Linked DNA regions of Mytilus edulis. The protein of the gene in region 1 binds, or shares a complex with, the protein of each later gene. Links are inferred from orthologs where the notes say so. Each region holds a gene or a part of one and is shown in the gene's direction. Other genes may lie near its edges. The genes, in order: negative elongation factor D-like and negative elongation factor A-like.

Region 1 (13,563 bases):
ACATGTTATAGAGCAGAAGAATATCATTAATCAGCGTCTGAAAGTTTCTGTTATCTTTGTTCAATTAAACATATGCACTGTGTCGGATAGAAATCAATGTTATGCAAGTCCACTTATATGTGCATGTGACTTTGATTGATTTTGGATCTTTCAAATTTGAAATGTCGAAGTATGAAGTTTAGTCTGTTTAATTTTATAGAGTTCTTACGCAGGCACTTGTCTCAGAAATATTTTTTTCCCTATATACTTTAATATAACATAAGGTACTTAACTAAACATTTTGAAAAATGTCAGCCGTAGCGAAATTCCATAATATGCCGATTTCTCAAGTTACCAACCTCACTAACCTCACTAAAAATTGTTATGTCATAAATCTGAATTGATTTTTCTACACAATGGTGTAAACGCTTACTTTTGTTGTCGAAATCATCCTTTGAAAATTGGCATTTTTTAGCAATTATTAATTATTAATTTAGAATAACAATGAAAACATCTCTTTAGAAATGTTTTTTATTTAAAAGAGTAGAAACAACGTATTCTGCACTAATTTTGTACGAGGGTAGAAGGAAAGTGATGTCAATGCCTAGTTTACCCGTGTGATAAGTTAAAACACAAATACCGAACGAACTAACAAGATGACTGATTTTAGACTATGGTAGAATATATATATTTATCCTGATTTAGAGTAATTTCTCGCAATTTGATTGGCTTATATTGTCCTAATAAATTTCAGTACATTTTTTTTATTACGTCAGTCATGTCAGTAGGAATTATCTCCCTTATTTATTATGTCAATTGGAATTATCTCCCTTATACCATTGACCTAATAAAAAATAAAAAAAAGATTTGCTTTATAGTTCTAATATTTTAAATTTTTAACAGGTTTAGATTAAATATCTTAAATATATTTGGTTCATTAGGCCACAATTAAAAATATTTCAGTTTGCCCAAACCCGACCCATGATGACTGGGTGTGGGTAGGTAGGTAGGCAAATTCTTTTTTTTTTTTTTTATCCGAATTTGCATGAAAATATTAAAAGATCTTAAAACAGTATATCTTTTTTTTTCTCTGTCAAACCTTTGTAGAGACAACCAATAGCCATGAATTTAAAACCTCTATAAATAAATTAGTCTACTATATGATTTGTTTCCTGAGATGTTTATAACCCTGACAATTGCTAACTGTGTGAAAGGGCTGTTGGATTTGTGAAGTGATTTTCAACAGTTCCATCAACATGTGTTTGTGTAAAAAAAATTGAAGCTGATTATGTAATGATTAAATTAGTTTGCAGTTTTTAAATCCTATTTCTATTAAAATAGATTAAATGTCCTAAAATATTTATATGAATTATTATCTACCATCCTTAGTTTGTGTCTTTTTGATGTTTTGAAAACAAATTTATATTTTACATTATCACACAGGTAAACTAATTTGGCTATAAATAGATCAAAGCATGTTCTGTAGAATCTCCAACCTAAAAACTAAATTTTTGAAAATAATCATTATTGATAAAATGAAATTGCATAAAGTTAACGTTTTCTGAAGACTTTATTTTTAGGTCATGGTTCTAGGGGCTTCCTCACAAATTCCAGACTTAACTAATCGATCAGATCGGTAGTCGAACACTAATCGATCATATTTGATCAGTACTCGATTGATGACTTGAAGTCATCGATCAGTAATCGATCAAACTCTCTCAGGAGTTTGATCGATTAGTGATTGATTAGATTACTGATCGATTTAAGACCGATTACTGATGAATTAGTGATTGATTAATGACAGATTAGTGATTTTATTATTATTGACAAAACAATGCTATTCCAGAAATAAGCCTTATGAAAGACATCATTTGTGAAATAAAAGTTCCATGAAAATACTTTCACCATTGCCAAAATTTTCTGAAATTCCTGGATTTACTCAGTAATACATGTTTATACAATATGCAGTCGTAACCAAGAGAAGCGTATTTAAAAGCTTAGCCCTAACAAATTCCTGACTAAAAACTACATTTTTGTAGGTTTACCCATGTATATTAGGTCCAAAAAAACTATGATATGACGTCTTGAAAGGCTTTTGTATTTTTTTCTTTTACGCCTTTTATTGACGGAAAGGGTCAAAGCAAAATTTAAAATAGCCTTCCAAGATGTCATAATTATTTGGACTACTGTTTATATAATTAGATATGACCTACAACATTATTTCCATGTGAATTTGGATCCAGCACTTACCCAACCCTTCCCGTATCATATTTTTTACTTATCAAAAATGTATATCTGTCATAAAATGTTTCTTTTTATGAAAATAAGATTAATCTAAAGTATACATGTATATAACTGATGAAAGATACATTGCTATTTTTTCTAAACACATCAGAATTTCTTTTCAGGATACATTTGTAGTAATGTAATGTTTCATTATTATATATTGTTAATGTTAATTAGGTGAAAATGTCAAAACAATAGGATCAAAAGCACAAACAGCAAATAAATAGCTGGTAAGATTGTATGGGAAAATTGATTTAGAGATAGTTGATTTGACCACACTATTGGAAACATTATCAAACATCAAAAGATTCTGACATCTAATTAGTTTTAGACACTTGTGATATAAACAGGCAAGTTGAAAACTTCACCTCCATCTAAATTTCACGATTTTATCATGAAATATGTAATAGAGCTTGAAATAGTGACCATGATGACCAGCTCATCCCTACCACTCAATTCATTCAACAACACTACCTGCTAAAGTTTACAAAGGAATGCAATAATAATTCCATAAAATTTCTAGACCTTGAAATCCTCAAAGACGAACACATGAAAATACTGGTAAGATATGAAATGCTATAAAAAAAAATACAGAAAAATTTCAACATCTTCATAAAAACCCAAAACCAACCCATTTGGAACTTTAAATCCTATATTAAAGGCAAAGGTATTCATTTACATAGAAACACAAACCAGAAAGAAAACTCTTTATTGAAAAACCATTTTATTAACTGAAATTGGTAAACAAATTTTATTAAATTCCATGACAGAAAAGATAAAATTAAGAAAAAGAAAAAAGTTTAAAATAGATGTTATGTATCATTTACATATTATCATCCTCAAGCAGAAGAACTTCAAAAAGTATTCAGGAAATTCTGGCATCTTATTAAAACAGATTCTTCAATAAGTGCTTCATTGTGTATCATATCCCATTAAAACCTATCCATAGGATTCAAAAGAAATAGAACATTGGTGAATTAATGAAATGACCTATAAAATAGTTTGTATGAAAGTCACAATTCCTTCAAAATATTTCACTGTGCAGAACTAATTAATGACCATCATCATGTAAACCTCACATGTAAACTGAAATTCTTATAAGACAAAATTCTACCAGGAAACACTTAATTCAACATTTATTAAAATAGGATGAAATAGTTAGAAAATCAAAAACAGAGTTCGTGAAAAGAGGTGGTCCTCTGGATTTTACCATCAAAATTTTGCATAGGACTGACACAATTTTAGTATTTTTCAATAGAATTGATAATGAGGACCAGCAGATTTTCTCCAAGGACCACCAGGGGAAAAAAGATTTCGTGAACTCTGCAATTAAAAAAAAATAAATCTAAATTCAAATTAACAAATTTTACAAAATTATGAAAAAATCAATAAATTAAAAGCAGTAATAAAAAAATGACAAACAGAAGGGGTGGTCTCTGCTGAAAGTTTCCCTTTAATCACCATATTTATAGAAAAACTCTAAACATTGCTACACAGTTTCAATGAAAGGCCAGAACAATGATTTGTAGTTGCACTATGCAACTACAAATCATAGGTGGATATAACGGCCTTATTTATTTAAAAACAAATATGTAACACATAATAAAAAAAGACAATCACTGAATTACAGGCTCCTGACTTGTGACGGGCACATACTCAATTCTATTTAAAAACATCTTTAATTTCTTATTCATATTCATTCTACTTATCTTTAGATGTGTATGCTTTCGTGTGAAAATAAAACACTAACCACTATTGCCTTGCATTAGGACTATTTTAAAATTTTAGAAAAAAGGGGGGATCTTCTGTATGTAAATTCAAAAGTCAATAGAAAGTTTTCCACTGACTCTGATAAAAATCTATTTATTTTTATCAGTATTTTGCAATCCTTAGTAGAGTCATAGTCCACAGCTGGTAATTTCTGGTCAGTCTTCTACAATATTGGGGAAATTAGACAATATCCTGCTGTGAAGACAAACAAGTGTGTTTGAATAAATGATGTATCAATTTTCTGTTAATTGGTAAATGTTCTGGCTATTTAGTTGTGACCTAAATTCTGGCATTAGTTAATAATGTTATAGGACAAACCCTAAATTTCATCATAAAGTTAAGGATATATCAAATTGCACAATTTATTTGTGTTGATTAATCCGTATATATGAAAAATACAGATTTTAATATATATTAGCTTGGTTGAAATTTTCATCTTCTTAATAAAATCACAAGTGTCTGAAGCTAATATTATATGTAAAAATTAATTTTGATGTGTTAACAAAGGTCATTAACTTAAAAGGCATCAAATATTTATCAAACCATGGAAGGATATATATACTACTATATTCAAGTCAAATGTTGTTGTTAAAATCTATTTTTTCACTCTTCCGGTCTTTTGGAAAATGTAGTTTGTGCTGTATTTAGACCCCTCTACAACCAAATTTGTTACATGCACACATATAAAAATTAGAGTTTTTATATCAATAATTATGACATCTTGGATGGCTTTTTTAAATTTTGCTTTGACGCCTTCCGTCAATGAAAGTTTGTAAAAGAAAAAATTAAAATAGCCTTTCAAGACGTCACAGTTATTGTACCAATATACATGGGTAAACCTACAAAAATGTAGTTTTTAATCAGGAATATGTTAGGGCTAAGCTTTTAGATACGCTTCTCTTGGTTACGACTGCATATTGTGTAAAAATGTATTGCTGAGTAAATCCTGGATTTTTTGGCATATTTAGACAGAAACATGAATTCAAGACCTAAAAATAAACACTGATGTCTGGCATGGGTATTGGTTCTAATCTTTACATTCAAATTTCCAGACACATTGACAACATCATGAAAAAAAATTCCAGTATCTTCTTAGCAGTGAAATGATTTTAAATTCTAGAATTCCAGAAAATTTTGGCAATGGTGAAAATATTTTCATGGAATTTTTATTTCACAAATGATGCCTTTCATAAGGCTTATTTCTGGAAGAGCATTGTTTTGTCAATAATAATAAAATCACTAATCTGTCATTAATCAATCACTAATCCATCAGTAATCGGTCTTAAATCGATCAGTAATCTAATCAATCACTAATCGATCAAACTCCTGAGAGAGTTTGATCGATGACTTCAAGTACTGATCAAATATGATCGATTAGTGTTCGATTACCGATCTGATCGATTAGTTAAGTCTGGCAAATTGTATAAAAATCCAATATGGCGTCCATAACATGTTTTTACTTTTGCACATGTGAAAAAATATTTCTGACAAAAGTCAAATTTCTCTTGTCAAAAGGGATTTATATTTATATTGCAATAAATTATTCAGAAGGAGTTACATTCAGTTAAGATTATATTTCTGATTCTGTGAGCAATTATAGTTTTATCAAATTCTCCCAAACAGCAACGTACTGACTGTCTAATGAGACTTGTAAATTTGAAGTATTTGAATAAAAGGACATCTAATTTACATGATAAAGGAAGATTATAATTAAAGACAACAATTTATCAAGAAATAATTCCTTTTTATTCAGTAAAAACAAAATCTTCTTGCAAGATTGTAAATTCGCAACTTCCGGATCCATTTCCTGTCAGAATAACATTGAAAATATTCGATTGCACATGGTTTTGAACAAATCTACCTGAATATTCTTATCAGATATTCGATAACACGATGAAATTAACATTGAGCATATAGGTAAGGGTTTGGTAGTACAAACAACTACAGCGTAAAAAAACTGCCACTTCACATGTTTCACTTCTTTACGTTCGTTAAATCAGAAGATAAATACAGAGAACATCGAATATCGATTAACTGCGTCTCTTATACGCTTTCTTTTAATCTTATTCACAATTACTTTCAAACGCAAAGACGACAAACATTAAGTTTTGTACGATGACGGAGCGGACCCCAAAAAAATCCGAAAAAAAAATTCTTCCAAAAAACGTCAAAAAAAGAATTTGAGTCGGCGGGTTTATTTTGGGTCGGTCGCGTTTGGGCAAACATACAATCTTTTTATTTTGGCCTTATTGTACAAATATTGAATTTATGTAATATAACAAAACCAGGATAATTCGTTACACAGTGTTTAATTGTCCTAATATGGAATTTATCGGGTCAATAAAATTCATATCGGGTTTGGCTTCGCCTCACCCGATATGAATTTTATTGACCCGATAAATTCTCGTATTAGGACAATTGCACACTGTGTAACTAATAATATATAGTTGATTTCTTTTCGAAGCATTTTATATACTGGACAAGGGAGCCAACATGTCAGATAAGTCAAGGATGGTCTATAAGCATGATGGTTCTGAAAGACATTCATCAACAAGTAACTAACATGTAACCCCATAAATTTTGTCAATTTTTTAGATCCTGGGAGATTTTTTTCTCTCGAAGAGAATAAGATTTTCTGCATTCTGAACAAATAATGAGATTTATAATAATCTGACAACTTGTCATATATGGAAATGCATACAAAATAGCAAATTGATATCATACAAACTTGTAAAAAAATAACTGAAAAGTTTTCTTTTAGATGATTATTACAAATTAAGTCTGTCGATCCTGGAAAGGTCCCCTTGAAAGAACATAAAATCATAATCAGTTACACAATGGAAAGAAACGTTAAACTGTTAAACAACATGTATTCAAAAATCTTTTGAAGTTTTTAAAATGTTGTCGCAAAATAACTAAGTGGTAAACTTTGAAAAACACAAATTTACAATGTTGATATCAGCTTTATTTCATTAATTTGGGTGTACCCATAATTTTGGGAAAGTAACTATAAAGAGTTCATTCTATGTTACATTTCTATCTTTTGTATGTTAAGGGTCAAATGCATCAATATCAATCATCATTCTTTGTTATTATTTATAAAAAAAAACATAGATTTATTGTTAATCATTTTGATAAAATTCAATGTTATGTTGAAAAGAATTACATATTCCACAATTAATTAACAGGAAAATTAACACTTCAGTGTAGATTTTTGTCTTCAAACTTTGGTGTTTTTTTATTTTTGTAGATTTATAATATATTTGTTGACAGTATATTAAAAACGCATTTAAATTTATAATGTCAGAGTTGGATGATGAAGACATGGTGTGGGATCCTGAGGAAATAGGCGGAGAGGTGACTGATCTATAAAATTGTTGATTTCAATATTTGTGAATGCCTCCATACTATAGTCTATATTTATAATGTTTATTATACCCTCTGTGAATAGATTTATGATATATTCTCAAGAGCATTTGAGAGCCTACGTTGTTTTTTTTTTATTATTAACAATCATATTCAACCATTGACAAGCTCTCATGTACTTTTGTTTGAAAAATAAAAATAAACAAATTATCTTTTCCCCTTCTATAAGACAAGTTACTGTCACCTTGTATTTTATGCAATAACAGAAGCACAAACACATCAAGTTAATATTTCTCAAGACAACATGTAGGATGTCAAAACCCTAAACATGCTAAATGACCCCTAGTCCGAGATTACTCTGACGTCCAACGGCTGTTTTGCCAGACAAGCTGGGGCCTAGGGACGTCAGAGCTCGTCCCATATCAAAAAGCGGATATTTGCCCACCCAAAGTAGATGCGCTGCTTCGTCGCTTATGGTGCCAACTGACGGCCTTGGAATTATAAAAATTGGCAGATAATTATGTAAGTGAAAGTCAAAATGCAGAAATCAATGGGTTTTTGTGAAAACTGTTAAAATATGGAAAAATAAAGGTTGGCAGGTAGGTGAAACTTACATATATATGAAAAGATAAATGAAAAAGGAACAGATTGATGCCCGATTTATATAATTCCAAGGCCGTCAGTCGGCACCAGAAGCTATGAAGCAGGGCATCTATTTTGGGTGGGAAAATATCCACTTTTTGATATGGCACGAGCTCTGACGTCCCACGGCCCCAGCTTGTCTGGCAAAATAGCCGTTGGACGTCAGAGTAATCTCAGACTAAATGACCCCAGGTTAACCAGGACAGCTCATTCATAAAACTTTGTTAAAGTCATCTTTTTAAAATATAATTGACAGATTTAAATGGGAAACAAGATAAATGAAGCGTGTAACATGTAAAGTAGGATCTGTTTACCCTTCAGGAGCACTTAAAAATCATAAGATTATCCCAGATTTTTGGTGGGATTCCTGTTGCTCAGTCTTTGGTTTTCTATGTATTGTTATAATAAAAGAATTATTTTGTATAATTGCCAATGAGACAACTCTTCACAAGAGACCAAATGACACAGAAATGAACAAGCATATGTCACTGTTCAGCCTTCAACAATGAGCAAAGCATGTACATGTACCGCAAAGTCAGCTATGAAAGGCCATGAAATGATAGAATTTAAACAATGAAAACAAGAAAACTTATAGCTTAATTAAAGAACAAGTTTTTTTTTTTTACTAATATGTTTGAATATCTCTTTGGTAACTTTTGACTAGAATGTATCTTTTGTAGATGTCTGACCATGATATGGATGGTGAAGATGAAGAAGAGAACCAAGCCATACAAGATGGATGTCTGCAAATATTCTCCGCCAGTGATTTCATTATGGAACCAGGAGTCTTTAACATGCTTAAAACGTAAATATCATCTGTTAATTTACCATAAACATATCCAATGATATCATTGCAATTGGATGCAGTGACAGTGTCTTGATAGATCCTTGTTTTTACTTGATTGGCTTTTAAACAATTTTAAAACACTATATATCTGTTATTATTTTCTATTTCTATATCTACATATAAACGTGTACGCTACAAATCTACAGATCTGTTTTTGGGCTTCACATGTTGTTCTTATCTACATGCATCAACACATGAATACATGAATATTCAATAGCTACATGTTTGTAGGCGTGTCAAAACTACATAAGCAATAATGACCAGCCAGTTCACACTGTTATGATTTTATTAACCAGTATATATTGAAAAGATAAATATAACAGTCCATTGCCATGACAGTAAATTGATTGATTGATTTAAATAGTATCAATCATGTTAATATAAAAAGCTAGTTATTATATTACCAGATAGGATTTGTTACAGCATAGAGCCAGTGATTTTTACCACTAAACTTTATTCATGCTGGGAAAGAGTTCAGGAGATCCTATGTAATTGTCTATACTTTTCATTTTAAACAGATTTTTACAAGCTGGAGGTTCACCAGAGAAAGTCGTAGAGTTACTATCTGAAAACTACAAAGCTGTTGCACAGACTGTGAATTTGTTAGCAGAATGGCTCATTCAGGCTGGTTAGTGAAACTATTAATTGTTCCTTATCATAACATACAGACTAGAACTGTGACCTATATTTGTATCATTTGGTAATTGCTGGGAAGTTGTCTTTTTGGTAATTTGCTATCATACCACATATATTCATATTATTTTTTGAAAAATTGTGATTGACATTGTTGTAACAACAGCTGATATATATGCTTGTTAGATCTCAACAGTACGGTCATCTATTCATCAAACATAGGATTCTCTTAAAAACAAGTCAAATTTTATGAAATTTACTCCCTGAGTAATTTAATTTATTGAAACAACCTCTGTTCAATTTATCAATCTCCAACTTTCGGAAAAATACTTGAAAAAAAAAATAATCATGCAATTCTCAAAATAATGGTTTCTCTCTTATCACACCTTTTTAGGTATTATAACAGATGATTTTTTTGTTTTTAGGTGTAGATATAAAAGTTGTACAAGAAATGGTAGAGAACCATTTAAAGACAATGATTATAAAACATTTTGACCCAAAGAAAGCAGATTCTATATTTACAGATGAAGGAGAGGTATAATTCTAAGTTATCAAATAGACCAATGTCAATTATTCTTCTCTTGCTTGAAAATTAAATGTAGTCACATACATGTATATCCATGTTATTAATTATACCAAATATTCCTGTCTTACATGAAGACTTTAACCAGATCAGAAACACTTTAATTTGTTATTAAGGATAATCATGAATATGTTTCTCACATAGACAATTTATAGAGATGTATATAGAAAGTACTTGTAGAAGAATTAACCCATTCTCTTAAAATCGATTTTTAAAGAATTTATATCATGCACTAATCATATATCCAAATGATGAGCATAATTATAACCATTCCTAGTGTGACCCTAAATAGTTTACATCATATACATGTACATGTACCAGTATATGACAAAACAAGACATTATTTTATTAAAACAACCTCAAGTGACTTTATATTTTGTAGATAACATAAGTTCATTGTAATTCATTGTATTTTGTAGACTCCCTCTTGGTTGGCTGAGATGATTGAATACCCCACATGGAGAGGATTATTTTACAAATTAGCAGAGGAATATCCAGATTGTTTAATGTTGAACTTCACTGTTAAGGTAGGCAAAATATCTATAACGTATAAAGGTAGGCAAAATATGTATTACATAAAACCAAATGTCTTCTTTTCAAGTAAAAATATCTAATAATAACATACAATCTTAATTATTTACTGACGGTAAATGAAATCTATAGCAAATACATTTTTTTTTTTAATTTAACCATGCCTTTTGTTTACTGTATTTCTGATGCTAAAATTTCTGTAACAGTGTACCAGTACCTCAGATGCAATATTTTTAGGTGGAGATGACCTCTGTCTCTACAGCATGTCATTAAATAGACCACTGTATCTTGTCTGTGGTTTACACTTTAATTTCTGTTCCAGCTTATCTCAGATGCAGGATTCCAAGGGGAGATAACCTCTGTCTCCACAGCCTGCCATCAGATAGAAGTATTCTCCAGAGTTTTACGGACCACTATTTCTAGTCTTCTAAATGGAGGAGAAGAATTGTTAGAAAAAAATCTCCCAGAATTTACAGTAAGAATTATAATTGTTATTAAGAAAGAAAAAAAAACACAATTATTTGTTATTTATTACATTTTCTGAACTGTACTTCTATTTTAAAAAAATCATCAAACTATAACTCTTTAAATAATAGAATATGTGGCAAAAATTTTGTCAGAGTTTGTGACAGTATTATCCTTTGCCTTGAACATTTGTTTTCCTTACTAGAGGAGCACTGTTTCTTGATTTGTCCCTTCTCACATTTATCTATTACAAATTACTTGCCTGATGACAATTACAAAATAACTGATATGCTGAATTATGTTTTGTATTTGTTTTAGAAAATGGTTTGTCATGGAGAACATACCTACCTATACAGTCAAGTGTTAATGCAGATATTGTCACAGGAACCAAAAGGTGGATCTAATATCAGAAGGTTGTGCCAGGAATTACAAAAATCTGCTAATGAAAGGTAAGCAACAAAAACAATTAATGTTTTTTGAATACTTTAAAATACATTTGAAACTATTGTTTTTTCCATGAGTGATGATTTAAGACTTACTTTATCATTAAATTGATTTTGTGCACATTTGTTACATATAAATTTTTAGTGGAAAGTTAACTATGGAGAATTGAATTGATTTCTCTTTTTTCCATTCAAGCAACAAAAATCATAATGAATTATATCCAAAGTCCTTGCAATGAATCATAGGTTGTAGTTGTTGTTGTTGTTGTTGTATAGGTGTAAGCTGCCTTAATAAATATTTTTTTTTTGCTCACTAAGATTTTCGTTGATAATGTATTTGTATTTATTACACTACTACTTTAATAATATATATATATATATGATTGTGATGACAGAGGATTGGATGTAACACCTATAACGCTAGCTTTGAGTGGTGCAGCAGCCTACCCCAGGGCTTGTCAAGCTTTATCATCTATGCTGTCAAGGAATGCTTTAAATCCAGCAGATATTACCATTGTATGTATCATTAAACATTTCTTTTCCGAAACACAAAGGTCGTCAGTAAGGAGCTGAGGGAGCAAAAAGTTTAGAAAAAAGAACATTTTGATAGTTCATGATCTACTTTTGAAAAACACAAATTAAAATAAATTACTGCTTAGTTTGACGTATTTACAATGGTTTAAACATGTAACTATGGAAAGTTTTATACCCTGTACATTGTTAAAACAGAGCCCCCAGATAGCTTTAACTAGATGAGCAAGTTGTGTAATTTCAGAACTTATCTGTATTGTAATGAATAGGGATAAGGTGTATATAAAGTCAAAGAAAAATATTGAAAAAAGGAAAACATAGAATTTTAGATTGTATTTAGTTCTTAAGGTGTGGAAGTTTACAAAATTTAAAGACAACTCATAGGGATATCTATTTACACATGATTCATAATGTTTTTGCAAAAATATTCTGTTTATTTCCTTAAAATGCACCTGTATATGACTATTTCTTGACTTTTTCATTCTTTTTTGAAACAATTATTTCATTATTGTTCACTGGTTGTTTGAGATATCTCTTTAAGTCTACTATGGTTTCTTTTTCAGTTATACAAAATGTACACCGACATGAACCCTCCACCAGTTGATTTGATCAGAGTACCAGCATTCCTTGGTAAGATTAATTTAAAGGAATGCAGATATATTTACTTGAATTAAAAAAAATTGAGGCAGGATCCCTCGCTTTTATGCTTTTACTAAAAAATCTGTTTGATTTCAGCTATTTTTGCATCAGTTTTCATTTTGAAGCATCTTTTCTAATTTATTATTCGTTTTTTCTTCAATAACACATAATGGATTTATCCAAACTAGTAAAGCTTAATTTTGCACTTCTTCTGAAGTTAAAACTGCATGATGGAAATAAAGGATTGAATTGTAAGATACAAGTCAATAAATAATTTGAAGTTCACATTGGTAAATGAAATCAATTTTTTTCTTCATTGTTTTAAAATAAGCACTTTGATTTCATTCATTGTTTTATAATGTATACACACAATTCAAGGGAAAATACATCTGGTTTTAGTAGTATTATAAATAGCTTAGAACTTCAACAGTGTATGTTTAATTTCAGATTTACTGATAGATGCCATGTTCAAACCAGTATCAAAAGTGAACCCTGAACATAAAGCTAAATATATATATGTTTTGTCATATGCTGCAAGTGTCACAGAAACTTATAAAAAGGTACTGAAAAATGCTTGTACATACACATTTATTTAATAACTTTGCATGTCTGAATTGGAAAGGTAATGTATGTTTGACATTTCCTTGACATTTCCCAAGCAGAATATGAAGGGAATCAGATTTTTTCCTTAGGGAACCCCTAAAATTATTATGTAGAGTGAGCCTAAAGGTTTGTAATGAGAAACAATGGGAAGACAACTCCAGATAATCAGAATTACTTTGAAAATTTGATTTTTGTCTATATGCACTCCATATTGTATTCTTTGTTGAAGTTTTTATGTGTTACTA
Region 2 (13,137 bases), on another chromosome or scaffold:
AATTAGTATATGATTGATAGCTTTTAAAATTGTAACATAAATAGCAAGCTTATTGAACCCCTGTTTGTGGAGAAAGTGTTCCATGATGAAATTGACATTGCACAAAATATAGCTGTCTTTGTTACTATATTAAGGAAATAAACACAACTAGTTGCAGTATATTAATTCTTTTTATAATGCATCCGAATAAGAATATAGTTCTTTTGTCTTTTGTTTTATTACAATTTCTAATACAATAAAATCGGCAATGCGTTTGCAAATAGGTTCAAATACATGTGGATTTAAGTGGGAGGTATATTGTAATATCCATTATTTAATTATGTATATTTCTGAGTCTGCGCTAAGTATAGATATATTGAGAATTTTTACACGGTGTTGTTTACAAAGCGAAAGAAGCACGTCATATAAGAATCTTTTACAAAAGTCTTTTGACTTGTATCTCTGAAAAATGAGTAAAAGTATCAGTTGCATTATTTCATGCATCAATAGTGTAAATAAAATATTATGTGAGCGACACAGGCTCTTGGAGCCTCTAGTTAATGATACATTGAATTTGTTTTATAGCTATGTAAGTTTTATTATTTATTTATATGTTTTCCTCAGTCTAACTACATGTACTACATATGTTTTTTCAGGTTTGAACAAAAACACAGATGGGAAACCAAAAGTAACATGTGATACAACTGTAACTGCAAAGTTCTACTCTAGGTCATCTCAAGCCAGACAGGGGATTTTGAAAGAGATATGAATAATGATGGATACTTCATGCTAGATCAAATAATATTACACTTATGGTTATGATCACATTCATTGACATGGAAAAATAAACATCTTGTGTAGTGCAGACTGGAACAATTTACAATACCAATGTTATATGATAAAACTACCAAAGTGGAAAAATATGACATTTACCATTCAGTAATGTGACTTGCTTTATGTAATCAAACTGTTCGACTGGTCAGAAACTTTAACCAACTGAAAAGTCATAAAATAAAGCCTACTTACAATCTGTAAGACTTTATTAAAACAAATTGCCATTGGTGTCAGAATTTGAAATGAAATGTAATAGGTGATGACAAACACTTAAGTCAAGTCACTGTAGTACAATGTATAACTTTAAATCTAAAAAGAAATATTTTGGGTTTTTTTTCAGTGTTTTTTTTTTTCTTCATCCAAACATTGACCATCTATGTTAGGTTTCTCTCTCCCAGCATTTCATGTCTAGCCTCTTTATCAATGTACTCAGACCCTCTTTCATTTATTCATTGTTTGATTAGTTATTGTACTGAATATGCATGGAATCCTTCTAATCAACTGGATATTAATCAATTGAATCAATATTTCTAAGGAAAATCACTGAAAACTTTGTCGGCACTTGCAATATGTGATTTGTTTTCCAGTGAGATTAAATAGATTTATGCTAAACACCACTTTTAACACTAATACTATTGTGCTATCTTGTGGCAGTCAATTAATATTGGTGGAGGAAGCCAGGGAGTCTGAAGAGAACCACCAATCATTGTGTCAATTAATATTGGTGGAGGAAGCCAGGGAGTCTGAAGAGAACCACCAATCATTGTGTCAATTAATATTGGTGGAGGAAGCCAGGGAGTCTGAAGAGAACCACCAATCATTGTCTCAATTAATATTGGTGGAGGAAGCCAGTGAGTCTGAAGAGAACCACCAATCATTGTGTCAATTAATATTGGTGGAGGAAGCCAGGGAGTCTGAAGAGAACCACCAATCATTGTGTCAATTAATATTGGTGGAGGAAGCCAGGGAGTCTGAAGAGAACCACCAATCATTGTGTCAATTAATATTGGTGGAGGAAGCCAGGGAGTCTGAAGAGAACCACCAATCATTGTCTCAATTGATATTGGTGGAGGAAGCCAGTGAGTCTGAAGAGAACCACCAATCATTGTGTCAATTAATATTGGTGGAGGAAGCCAGGGAGTCTGAAGAGAACCACCAATCATTGTGTCAATTAATATTGGTGGAGGAAGCCAGGGAGTCTGAAGAGAACCACCAATCATTGTGTCAATTAATATTGGTGGAGGAAGCCAGGGAGTCTGAAGAGAACCACCAATCATTGTCTCAATTGATATTGGTGGAGGAAGCCAGTGAGTCTGAAGAGAACCACCAATCATTGTGTCAATACTGGTGGAGGAAGCCAGGGAGTCTGAAGAGAACCACCAATCATTGTCTCAATTGATATTGGTGGAGGAAGCCAGGGAGTCTGAAGAGAACCACTAATCATTGTCTCAATTAATATTGGTGGAGGAAGCCAGTGAGTCTGAAGAGAACCACCAATCATTGTGTCAATTAATATTGGTGGAGGAAGCCAGGGAGTCTGAAGAGAACCACCAATCATTGTGTCAATTAATATTGGTGGAGGAAGCCAGGGAGTCTGAAGAGAACCACCAATCATTGTCAATTAATATTGGTGGAGGAAGCCAGGGAGTCTGAAGAGAACCACTAATCATTGTCTCAATTAATATTGGTGGAGGAAGCCAGTGAGTCTGAAGAGAACCACCAATCATTGTGTCAATTAATATTGGTGGAGGAAGCCAGGGAGTCTGAAGAGAACCACCAATCATTGTGTCAATTAATATTGGTGGAGGAAGCCAGGGAGTCTGAAGAGAACCACCAATCATTGTCTCAATTGATATTGGTGGAGGAAGCCAGTGAGTCTGAAGAGAACCACCAATCATTGTGTCAATACTGGTGGAGGAAGCCAGGGAGTCTGAAGAGAACCACTAATCATTGTCTCAATTAATATTGGTGGAGGAAGCCAGTGAGTCTGAAGAGAACCACCAATCATTGTGTCAATTAATATTGGTGGAGGAAGCCAGGGAGTCTGAAGAGAACCACCAATCATTGTGTCAATTAATATTGGTGGAGGAAGCCAGGGAGTCTGAAGAGAACCACCAATCATTGTGTCAATTAATATTGGTGGAGGAAGCCAGGGAGTCTGAAGAGAACCACCAATCATTGTCTCAATTAATATTGGTGGAGGAAGCCAGGGAGTCTGAAGAGAACCACCAATCATTGTGTCAATACTGGTGGAGGAAGCCAGGGAGTCTGAAGAGAACCACCAATCATTGTTAGAACAATCCTAGTAAATTAAGATTAGAGTCAAATGCACCTGCCTTGTCCAGGTTACAAACTCACACCTTCGGTGTTAACAGGCTAGTGAAACAGTTGTTCATACTTAGACTTCCTGGTCACAGAGGCCCCTTTAATTAAATAGAGATGTGCATGAAACATAATAAAATCAGACAACTATACAGTGAAAAATGAAAATAAAAGTCAATAATGAGGGGGATTGAAACTTGTTGATTAATGCATGAGTTCTTGGATCTTTTTTGTATATATAGACCTTCAAAATTAACAATCCATGTGTAGTAGTCCCTGTGACCTTTTAATTTGTGTGTGGACCTTCAAAATTTTACATTGGTGTATAAGGGATCTTTTTTAAAGTATTCAGTTTTTATTTATATGAAGTGAAATGATATTATAAGTTATATGGTTCGCTACTGACCCCCTACGGATCCATAGAGGGTTAGTAAAATTCATAGGGGTGAGGCCGGAGGGGGTCAGTAGTTAACCGTATAACGAATTTATCGCACGCTGGACTTTTTCTGCTTGAAAAATAAACAATGAAACACAACAACATCGATAGATGACGTCACCATTAACGCGTCATGAACCCCATATGAAATTTACTAACCCCCTACAGTCTCATAGGGGGTCACCACGTGACGGTGTTAAACCAATCACAACGTGATATTTTACCCGCGGTGTGATAATTTGTGATATATAATTTATCAGGTTTTTGGACTTCAGGTTAAAGAAGGGTAACTAAAAATTAAAATGGGATAAATGAGCCATGATCCCCAAATTTGTAGAAAATAAATCCTGATATTTAGTTCTGACTTTTGAAATTATAAAAAAAAAACATAATCTATACAATTTACTGTTTAATGAAGTATTCTAAGTTAAAAAGATAAAAGTGAAATAATCATATAAAACTGTTTTTTTTTTAAACATTATACATGAGAAATTGTGTTCATTTCTAACATATTTAATAACAACTAAATTAAATGCAGTTTTTAGAATCCCTTAAGTTGATAAGCCAACACTGGTAATATCATTGAATTTAGCAAACTGTTTTAGAGATTTGGGTAAATATAACCTCTCAGTTCCATATATCACATTCCATTTGTTATCAAGTGCTTGTCTTAAAGCCATCCGACTGCAGTGCTGAAGAGTTGGTACTTTACGTTTAAAATTGTCTAACCATTCCAGAAATTCTTTCCTTTCGTCATCATCAGGAATTTGTGCAATCTGCTGGTTTCTCAAGGTTTTATCTATCACAGCCATAACTTTCAAACAGTTATAAAATGGTGTCTGTTCATTTAAAACAGTGGTGAACATAGTTTTTCTAATATTTTCTGGATATTTAGCAAAGTTTGGGGTGGCTATAAGTAGAATCATTAATGTTTTTGGTGATACAGTATGATGTTGCAGCCAGTGTGTAAAATCCCTTGTGAAAGAGACCCAGAAGTCATTTATAGACGTGGAACTTTTGTCATGTTGTAATAAGAATGCAATGTCTGCGTCATCATTTGTGGCTGCTCTGTGTAAAGAGGTGACACCAAAATCATTTGTTACAGAAGGATCTGCTTTGTATTCTATAAGTTTTTCGATAACAGGTTTGCTATAGTTAGCCTTAGATACAGCTATATGTAGAGCAGTTTCTCCTCCTTGTTCATATACTCTAGAATTCACATTAAATCCAGACCTCAATATATCCTCTATTAATGAAACATCTTTTGAGGTTATTGCATTTATCATCTTTTTGGATGGTGATAAATTATTTCTCAGCAAACTAAATAAATCCATATTTGTGGAATGTAGGTCTAAATAAGTCTGCAAAAGAAACAAAAATAAAATTAAAAACCAATTGTTCAGAGAACCATTGATGGTCTTTCCACCAGTAAGGATCTTTTTTATATGAAAATATTAAAATTTGGTTTTAAATGTCAATTTTAGCGTCAAATGACAGCTTATTGGACACTGATTCCAAAAATATATGGTTTCTATACAAAAAGATATACATAAGGGAGATCATTTTTTACTTCCAGTTTAAAAGATGTTATTTCCGGTATGTTTTGATAGTTTACTTGACACTGATTCCAAAAATAGATGGTTCTATATACTTTTACATTAAATTAGTACAAAAAATGGCTACTTCCGGTTTACAAAAGGTCACTTCCGGTTGGCTTTTTCAAGGTCACATTGCTTGCAACCTTTTGCCAAAAGTCCCATGGCTTTATCATGTATATATAAGAGGAAAAAGCAAAGGTCAAAATCTAGAACGTTAAATTTACCTATGACCTTGAGCTCAATTTCAAGGTCATCAACCAAGGACCTCAAATCAAAAGACTCTAGGCCTCTACTTTATATTGTTAATGAGTTATATTACCATACAACTAATATTAGATATAAAAGGGGGCAAAACTCGCATTAAATGTTACGTACCCTTTTAAGTAAAATTTACATGTTACGACATGTCGCAACTAACAATTGTGTGAAAATATTTTGTCGATATCTTGTATGATTTCTGAAAATAAGAGATAACAAGCCAAAATCAAAAATTTGAACATGACCTTGACCTTTGACTTTGACCTCATTTTCATACTTTTTGAGCAAGGGCCTCAAATCAAAAGACCCTAGTCCTCTATCACTTATGGTTTTCCAGTTACAAATTTATTTCACTTATTTCAATACAAAAGGGGAAATTACTCTCATATGGAGTCTTCGTATTGGTTCGGTCTAAATAAAACGTAACATCCTGAGGATATAACGAGCAATTTGGAAAAATAAATTTGTTGCTTTCTTTTACGGTTGCGGAGGAGATCTGATAACAAGAAAAACAGTGTTTGGGGAGATAACTCTTACAAAGAAAAGTGTTCAGTTAAACAGGGTGAGTTTCAAAAGCGTATAGACTGTATGATCTCATATACAAAAAAACTAAGCGACATCTTTTGAAACATTTTTACACCGCAAGAAAAAAATTAGGCGGAAGAAATAATCAGAACAAAATCAATAGGTCTTTCCACACGAAAGGTGGAAAGACCTAATAAACATATTTTAGTAATTATGACCAAATACCAAGTCAGATTCACCATTGTTCATTTCTTGACTCAGTATCATACGACATTATTATATAGGTCTTCAAAAAAATGCTGGATGTTACCGTCAATATATAAATCCTTTAGAATTTAGAAAATGTCAGAAATAAAAGTGGACCTTTCTAATTTAATATAGTGATGGACATTGAAGTAGAAAATAGATTGAATCTTCAACAATATCAGTTTTACAAGGCAAACAAAATTTTTGGTCTGGGGGAACACCGTTGTGTCTTCCATTTTCTATTTCAGGATCTAAATCAAAATTTAATTAACTCAATCATTCATTGTCTTACAATTGTCCTGGGACTAAAAAAAAACTACACACATAGAAAACTAGAGACTGAGCAACATGAAATTCATGAATCTGACTAAAACTGGGGTTGATCTAAGGTGCTTCTGAAGGGAAAGCAGATCCTGCTCAACATGTGGCACCCTTCCTGTTGCTCATATTAGTACAAACCTGGTAATAAGTCTAAATCCATAGGTCACATTCAGGGAAAAGGGGACAGGATTGTAATTACTAGATGTTAGTTCAGATATGAGGCACACTTGACTGTAACTGGTGTATCCTTTATCTCAAGTTTGATGGGATAGATGTGTTCAACATAGTCAAAAATTTTGAATTGTTTACTGAGAAAAATCATTTATATAGCGGAAGGTGAAGTTCAAGGATATTGCTAACTTCTTTTCTTTCTTCCTAAGAAGTTCCTGTATGAAGTCAGTCTCATATGAATAAAGGAACAAGTCAGCAAGAAGAGGGGCACAGTTTGTTCCCATGAGAATGCTGATTGTTTGTTGAAAAACACATCCTCCTATTGTTACAAATATATTGGCAATCAAGAAATCAAGCATCTTGATTATCAAGAATATATCATTTTCAGAGAATTGTTTGTTTTGAATCAGAGTGACTTTTCATAATTTAGGATTTATCTGTCCAAAAATGATGTCGCAACTGAAACTACAGGACCAACATCAGAAACTTTACGGTATATTTTTTTATCATTCAAATATGTTTGAATTATAAACAATAATTGATAAGGACTCCATCACCTATCACAGGTCATGCCTGCCTTGTATTATAGTAAATCACTGAAAATTACTGGAGCTCGCCCCTCTCCCTTAAACGTGAGATCAGTCAGTGAAGACAAGATACTTGTAGCAAAGATGGTCATTCTTTTTTTATTATAAAACAAAACAAAACAGGACAAACTCAGTTACTCTTTCAATTTATCCTTGAGTTTTGAATGTAAACAAAACATGATTGTTTTCAATGAATATTGTAATTAAACATAAATAAGGAATCAATATTTGCTGCCACTAACTGACACTGTCCTATAAATGATAATTAATCAATGATAGGTGTGGTTGACAAAATACAATTAATAGACAAGCCTAAAAGATAGTTTGACTTTTACCTTTTTGTAAACATTCGAAGTGTTTACTTTCTATTTAACCGGAAGTTTATGTTAATTAAAAGCTATTTTTATCACCCAATTGTTGTTTTCCTTTCATTTTGTATTTCGGTCGCCTCTCCAAGATGGCTGCTGGTGACACAGCTCTGTGGCTGCACAACAAGCTAGGTTCTACCGACGATTTGTGGTCCGGAAAGACAATATGTTCACAAATAAACCAAGCAAAATTACAAAATATCCAAGCTTGCTACAATGCACTTCAACCACACGTTAAAGTGAAGCTAATGTTGTCATTTCTGCACTTGCCGAGGAGGAATGTAGAGCAGGTAGATCAAATAAATCATGTTTCTATCTTCAAAACAATCCTTACAAATATAGTATCATAGTTGATCGTGAAAATTATTCCAATGCAGTAAAGTGTTATTTAGGGAAACACGACGTTTCGGCCAAGGTCCCGGTACGTCCATGGTCGTTTCGGCCTTGGTCAATTCGGCCATGTTTCATGTAATAAAATTATATTTTGATGCATATGACTTTCATATATATACCTTTTATAACTTTATGAAATTACTTTATTGCACTTTTATAGTAGTGATGTTTTATAAAAAAACTACTAAAAAAACGTGATTGTCTTGACATTCTTGAACTTGTTATAAGGATTGTAAATAAAGGAATTTAAACCAAGGTTAAATTATAAGTTTGCAATGTAAATGGATATTTTTTTGCATTTTGGCTCGTTATTGTATGTGACAAATGCATTGGTTCTAGAGACATGGTAAATCTCTAATGAAACGGTACGCAAATTGCAACGAGTACCCAAATTGCACCTATTTAGCAAAAATAGCAGCAGACATCTTACAAGATTTCCTAGAGACTACACAATTTGTATTTTTATGATTTGATACTATGCACATCTTTCAACATAGGTAAAAATATTTAGATATGCACAAAACGTTCACAGTATTTATCAATAGATGAAGTGTTTACTGAAAAAGCAAAATGTACTGAAACGTCGCTATGCGACGTCATCAAAACGTCATCTTTTTAAAATGATCAAATAATTTTACAATATGTTACAAGTACCCATTTTTTTTTAAAATGAAGAGTAAGCATGGATTTATATCCGATTGTTCAAAATATTTGAGGAAATTAAACAAAAGCTCTGTTATTCGACTTTTGACGATGCGAATTTAAGCATAGATGCAATTTGGGTACTCCTAATTTCAGAATCATTGATGGTTTGGAGGTCAGTTTAGACCAATTTTTCTATGATTCCATATGGATTAAAAATCGAATAGGTATACCTTTATAATAAAGAAGGATACGGCTACAAAATAAACACAGAATGGACATTATTGTCGCGTCTTTATCATAAAAAAACGTAGGTGAAAAAACTGTCAAAATAGTCTTTAGTTTATTATATTGTGTTTGTAAATTGAAAAACAAAGGATGAGAGGGAATTAATCCACATAAAAAAAGTATTTGCACACCTAAAAACACACAAAAAATAGAGAACTGCACTTTTGTTGCTGTACTTCATGTGGGTCTCATTTGGTTCTAAGAGTGACGCGGGATTCATGTCAATTTTTTGTAAGCGTGACATGTTGAAGTCAAATTATTGTGCCGTGAAAACGGGAAATGAAGTCTAGCGGGACATAGGAGAATTGTGTAAACGGGATACGGGAATCTGACAAAACAGTAAGCGGGACCCGGGATCAGAACCCCCCACCCCCCAATGAGACCCCCCTTCATCCTGATGTTACAGTAGCTTGTTTTGTATATTTTATTGGTTTTTTTTAATGGTGTTTACCTTTGCAAGATCAAAAGATTCTCCCATATTAAGACATCAAATACAGACGGTATATTTCAAAACATAAGCAAGAATAGAATATTCATATAATATTGTTCTGCACTTTCACTTTTGTTTCAAAACAGGATATGCTTTGGACCATCTAATTTTGAATAGGGGTAACTGTGTCAAAATATAATATTTATCTAAATAAGTCTCTCTTTTTCCTGCGGTTTATATATGTTAAAATACATTGTAACAAACAAATAAAGAAGTAATTTGTAAACTAAGTCTAACTGTTCATTGTGAACAATACAAAAATGACAAATCCTGCACCAACTTAAAACATTCACACCCATGAAATAGAACAATCCAATATGTCTGCGCCCAGGATTTGTGTTCCAGGTAAACATGCTCAAATTCAACTGATTCCTGTCATATTTTACAGTAAAGATTAAACTTTTTACGCACAAAAGCATAAGCAATTAATTTTCAAGTGAAGACATATCATTTTATGTGATTTAATATGAGGCAGGCATTACCTGGGAATGGGGACGAAGTCTGGATTTTTTTTTCGTCCCCATATATAAATGCAAGGATACAAATCCTTGATAAATGGCACTGGCTACGGTTACATGGAAATGTAACAATAAAAAAAATATTATTGTTACATCGGAGACTAATTGCCGGAATGCAAAGTTGGGTAAGGAACCGATTAATTACGTATGAAACAATAATTATTGAGGCTACGGTTACATTGTGTTATTGTTACATGAAAAACAGTAATGTACGCTAGATTTATTAAATTTAAATTTTCTATAGTTATGTTGCTTAATTCTTTCATATGTACTAAACAATTATACTTCAATTCGGCCATGTTTCATGTAATAAAATTATATTTTGATGCATATGACTTTCATATATATACCTTTTATAACTTTATGAAATTACTTTATTGCACTTTTATAGTAGTGATGTTTTATAAAAAAACTACTAAAAAAACGTGATTGTCTTGACATTCTTGAACTTGTTATAAGGATTGTAAATAAAGGAATTTAAACCAAGGTTAAATTATAAGTTTGCAATGTAAATGGATATTTTTTTGCATTTTGGCTCGTTATTGTATGTGACAAATGCATTGGTTCTAGAGACATGGTAAATCTCTAATGAAACGGTACGCAAATTGCAACGAGTACCCAAATTGCACCTATTTAGCAAAAATAGCAGCAGACATCTTACAAGATTTCCTAGAGACTACACAATTTGTATTTTTATGATTTGATACTATGCACATCTTTCAACATAGGTAAAAATATTTAGATATGCACAAAATGTTCACAGTATTTATCAATAGATGAAGTGTTTACTGAAAAAGCAAAATGTACTGAAACGTCGCTATGCGACGTCATCAAAACATCATCTTTTTAAAATGATCAAATACAATATGTTACAAGTACCCATTTTAAAAAAAAATGAAGAGTAAGCATGGATTTATATCCGATTGTTCAAAATATTTGAGGAAATTAAACAAAAGCTCTGTTATTCGACTTTTGACGATGCGAATTTAAGCATAGATGCAATTTGGGTACTCCTCATTTCAGAATCATTGATGGTTTGGAGGTCAGTTTAGACCAATTTTTCTATGATTCCATATGGATTAAAAATCGAATAGGTATACCTTTATAATAAAGAAGGATACAGCTTCAAAATAAACACAGAATGGACATTATTGTCGCGTCTTTATCATAAAAAAACGTAGGTGAAAAAACTGTCAAAATAGGTGCAATTTAGGTACCGTCACGTTATGTTTTTAAAATTTTCGAAAGGCAAACTATATTTTTGTGTGGCTGTGATAAGGGATTCTGTGACTGTCCAAATTAGACAAGCACTACATAGAATTAGAAACAGGATATATATTTAACAGTTGTACATTTTTAAACAGTAATTGATTTTTTTCATCAAATGTCATTTATCTTCAATAAAAGTATAAAATATATATTATTACATGTGTATGATTATAAAGTAGTTATGTTCCAGAGTATTTGGACCGTACGTGTACGGTCTGGACCGTATGCGTACTTTTTCAAAATACTCATATGGTCATACCGTACGTGTCTGACTAATATCAAGAAGTTGGTCAAATTAATTAGATACAAATGCATTTAACAGATCAACATAACTTAACTCTCAAATTGTTATAAAAAAGTTCTATTGTAATTGAAATAAAAACTTTATATTTTAACTATATAAAAAATTCACAATAATTAAATCTGTTAATCTCTTGTATTTATAAGCTTATATAGATCAGTAATACATTAATTGAATTATGATCATTGAAATTGAAGATATCGGAAGTAAACATAATTTGGGAGGACAATAGCAAGTGTCACCTTGGGCAAGAGTACCAAAATAGGATTCAGATATAAAATTGAACAAATATTTAATTTCAATTGTTCCTTTGTTCATTTTATCAATCTATTTGTAATAATAAAAATTTGTAAAACTAAAAATTGAGATTGTGATAAACATTTGTTTAAATTTAACCAATATAATCCATAACATGTATGGTCAGCTCAAACTGGACCATACGTGTATACTCATAGGGTCCGACCATACACGTATGGTTGGACCGTACGAGTATACGTATACGGTCCAAATACTCATATCGACATATGGTCTGGAACAGTTACAATATATAGATCTTAAAGTTAAATAATACAACAGAAGCATCCAACAGTTTATTGCATGTTATTTCTATACATTGTTTACATACACATGACATATGCAAATGATATATGAATTATATACATGATATATAAATTGGTAGAGATATTCCAAACATTCCAAATGCCAAATGGAGGTAAGAATATTTGTTGATTTGATTTTTTTTTAAATTTTTGTTGTTTATCTGTTAAATATCAAGAAAAAACATGTACATTATAACAATTTATAAAGTGATGTTATATTATTTTACATACATGTGTATGTCTAAGTTTATATGCAGACAGTAAAAAATAAAACCAAAACTAAACAATTGAATAGCTAAACTTGAGGAAATGGTTTTTATGTATTTGAAAATTTCTTCAACACTTGGATATATATCATACATGTATCTTGCTGTCCACATGGTCATTAAATTGACTTTTTGCTCACAACCTTTTAGTACTAATATTTTCAAGTAGAAGGAAAAGTGAAAATTTGCATGCATGACACAATCATTTGCCTTAGATTAAGTCTTACAAACATGACATACCATCAATTTATGACTAACAAGGCTGTAGCTAGGCATCTTATTTTAGTGAGGCAAAATAATTGAGCCGAGAGAAGCGAGGCGAAAATTTTTTTTGGAGGGTATGAAATGATAGGTGCAAAATCCTGCATTCTAGGCATTTTTAGAGAGTTTGATAATGTTGTGAATTTGGACACTTTATATAAATTTTTCATTTTTTAAGACTTTTATTAACACCAAATTTTCAAGACCGCACAATCTCGCGCCACTCATGAATGCTCTTTTCCAAGTTTTCAGTTGTTTCAGGGCAGTCTGTATTTCTAAAGGTAGCACATCATCATCAACACAATGATAAATGTCTTCTTCCAAATCCTTCTCCATCAGCAAATCGGTAGCAACAGTTTTGTTTGCAAAAGGCTTTCCTGTAAGCTTTCCTGTAAGAACCATCATACAGTCGCAGTTACAAAATATTAAACTCGCTTTTATGCTGACAAAGAGTAGACAAACTAG

The links.
Region 2: the proteins of negative elongation factor D-like (region 1) and negative elongation factor A-like are in contact, whole or in part, in a crystal structure (PDB 5L3X), measured with the Homo sapiens proteins. The link is inferred for Mytilus edulis from reciprocal best matches to the Homo sapiens genes NELFCD and NELFA. Residues at the interface, in XP_047296144.1 of Homo sapiens: Cys204, Gln205, Gln206, Leu207, Glu208, Phe210, Ser211, Leu214, Arg215, Leu218, Ala219, Ile221, Leu222, Asp223, Gly225, Glu226, Cys241, His242, Gly243, Glu244, His245, Thr246, Tyr247, Leu248, Phe249, Ala252, Met253, Ser255, Val256, Leu257; in NP_005654.4 of Homo sapiens: Leu23, Trp24, Ala25, Leu54, Leu58, Leu61, His62, Arg65, Pro88, Trp89, Met92, Val93, Ile96, Leu97, Phe100, Gly104, Ser105, Leu106, Leu108, Leu110, Asn116, Val117, Asp119, Ile120, Leu121, Glu123, Leu124, Arg125, Lys127, Val128.

What each region holds. Positions count from the first base shown.
Region 1 is NC_092348.1:83,758,939-83,772,501, forward strand, and holds the start of negative elongation factor D-like, read left to right. Parts: upstream 1-7,221; 5' UTR 7,222-7,335; coding exon 7,336-7,392; intron 7,393-8,723; coding exon 8,724-8,848; intron 8,849-9,408; coding exon 9,409-9,518; intron 9,519-9,948; coding exon 9,949-10,058; intron 10,059-10,525; coding exon 10,526-10,633; intron 10,634-10,959; coding exon 10,960-11,112; intron 11,113-11,420; coding exon 11,421-11,551; intron 11,552-11,940; coding exon 11,941-12,061; intron 12,062-12,639; coding exon 12,640-12,706; intron 12,707-13,162; coding exon 13,163-13,275; intron 13,276-13,563. Other genes in the region: uncharacterized protein, read right to left, coding at 6,764-6,859. UniProt on the Homo sapiens protein: Essential component of the NELF complex, a complex that negatively regulates the elongation of transcription by RNA polymerase II.
Region 2 is NC_092347.1:88,041,292-88,054,428, reverse strand, and holds the start of negative elongation factor A-like, read left to right. Parts: upstream 1-7,700; 5' UTR 7,701-7,734; coding exon 7,735-7,935; intron 7,936-12,225; coding exon 12,226-12,258; intron 12,259-13,137. Other genes in the region: protein FAM204A-like, read left to right, coding at 636-678; uncharacterized protein, read right to left, coding at 4,123-4,905. UniProt on the Homo sapiens protein: Essential component of the NELF complex, a complex that negatively regulates the elongation of transcription by RNA polymerase II.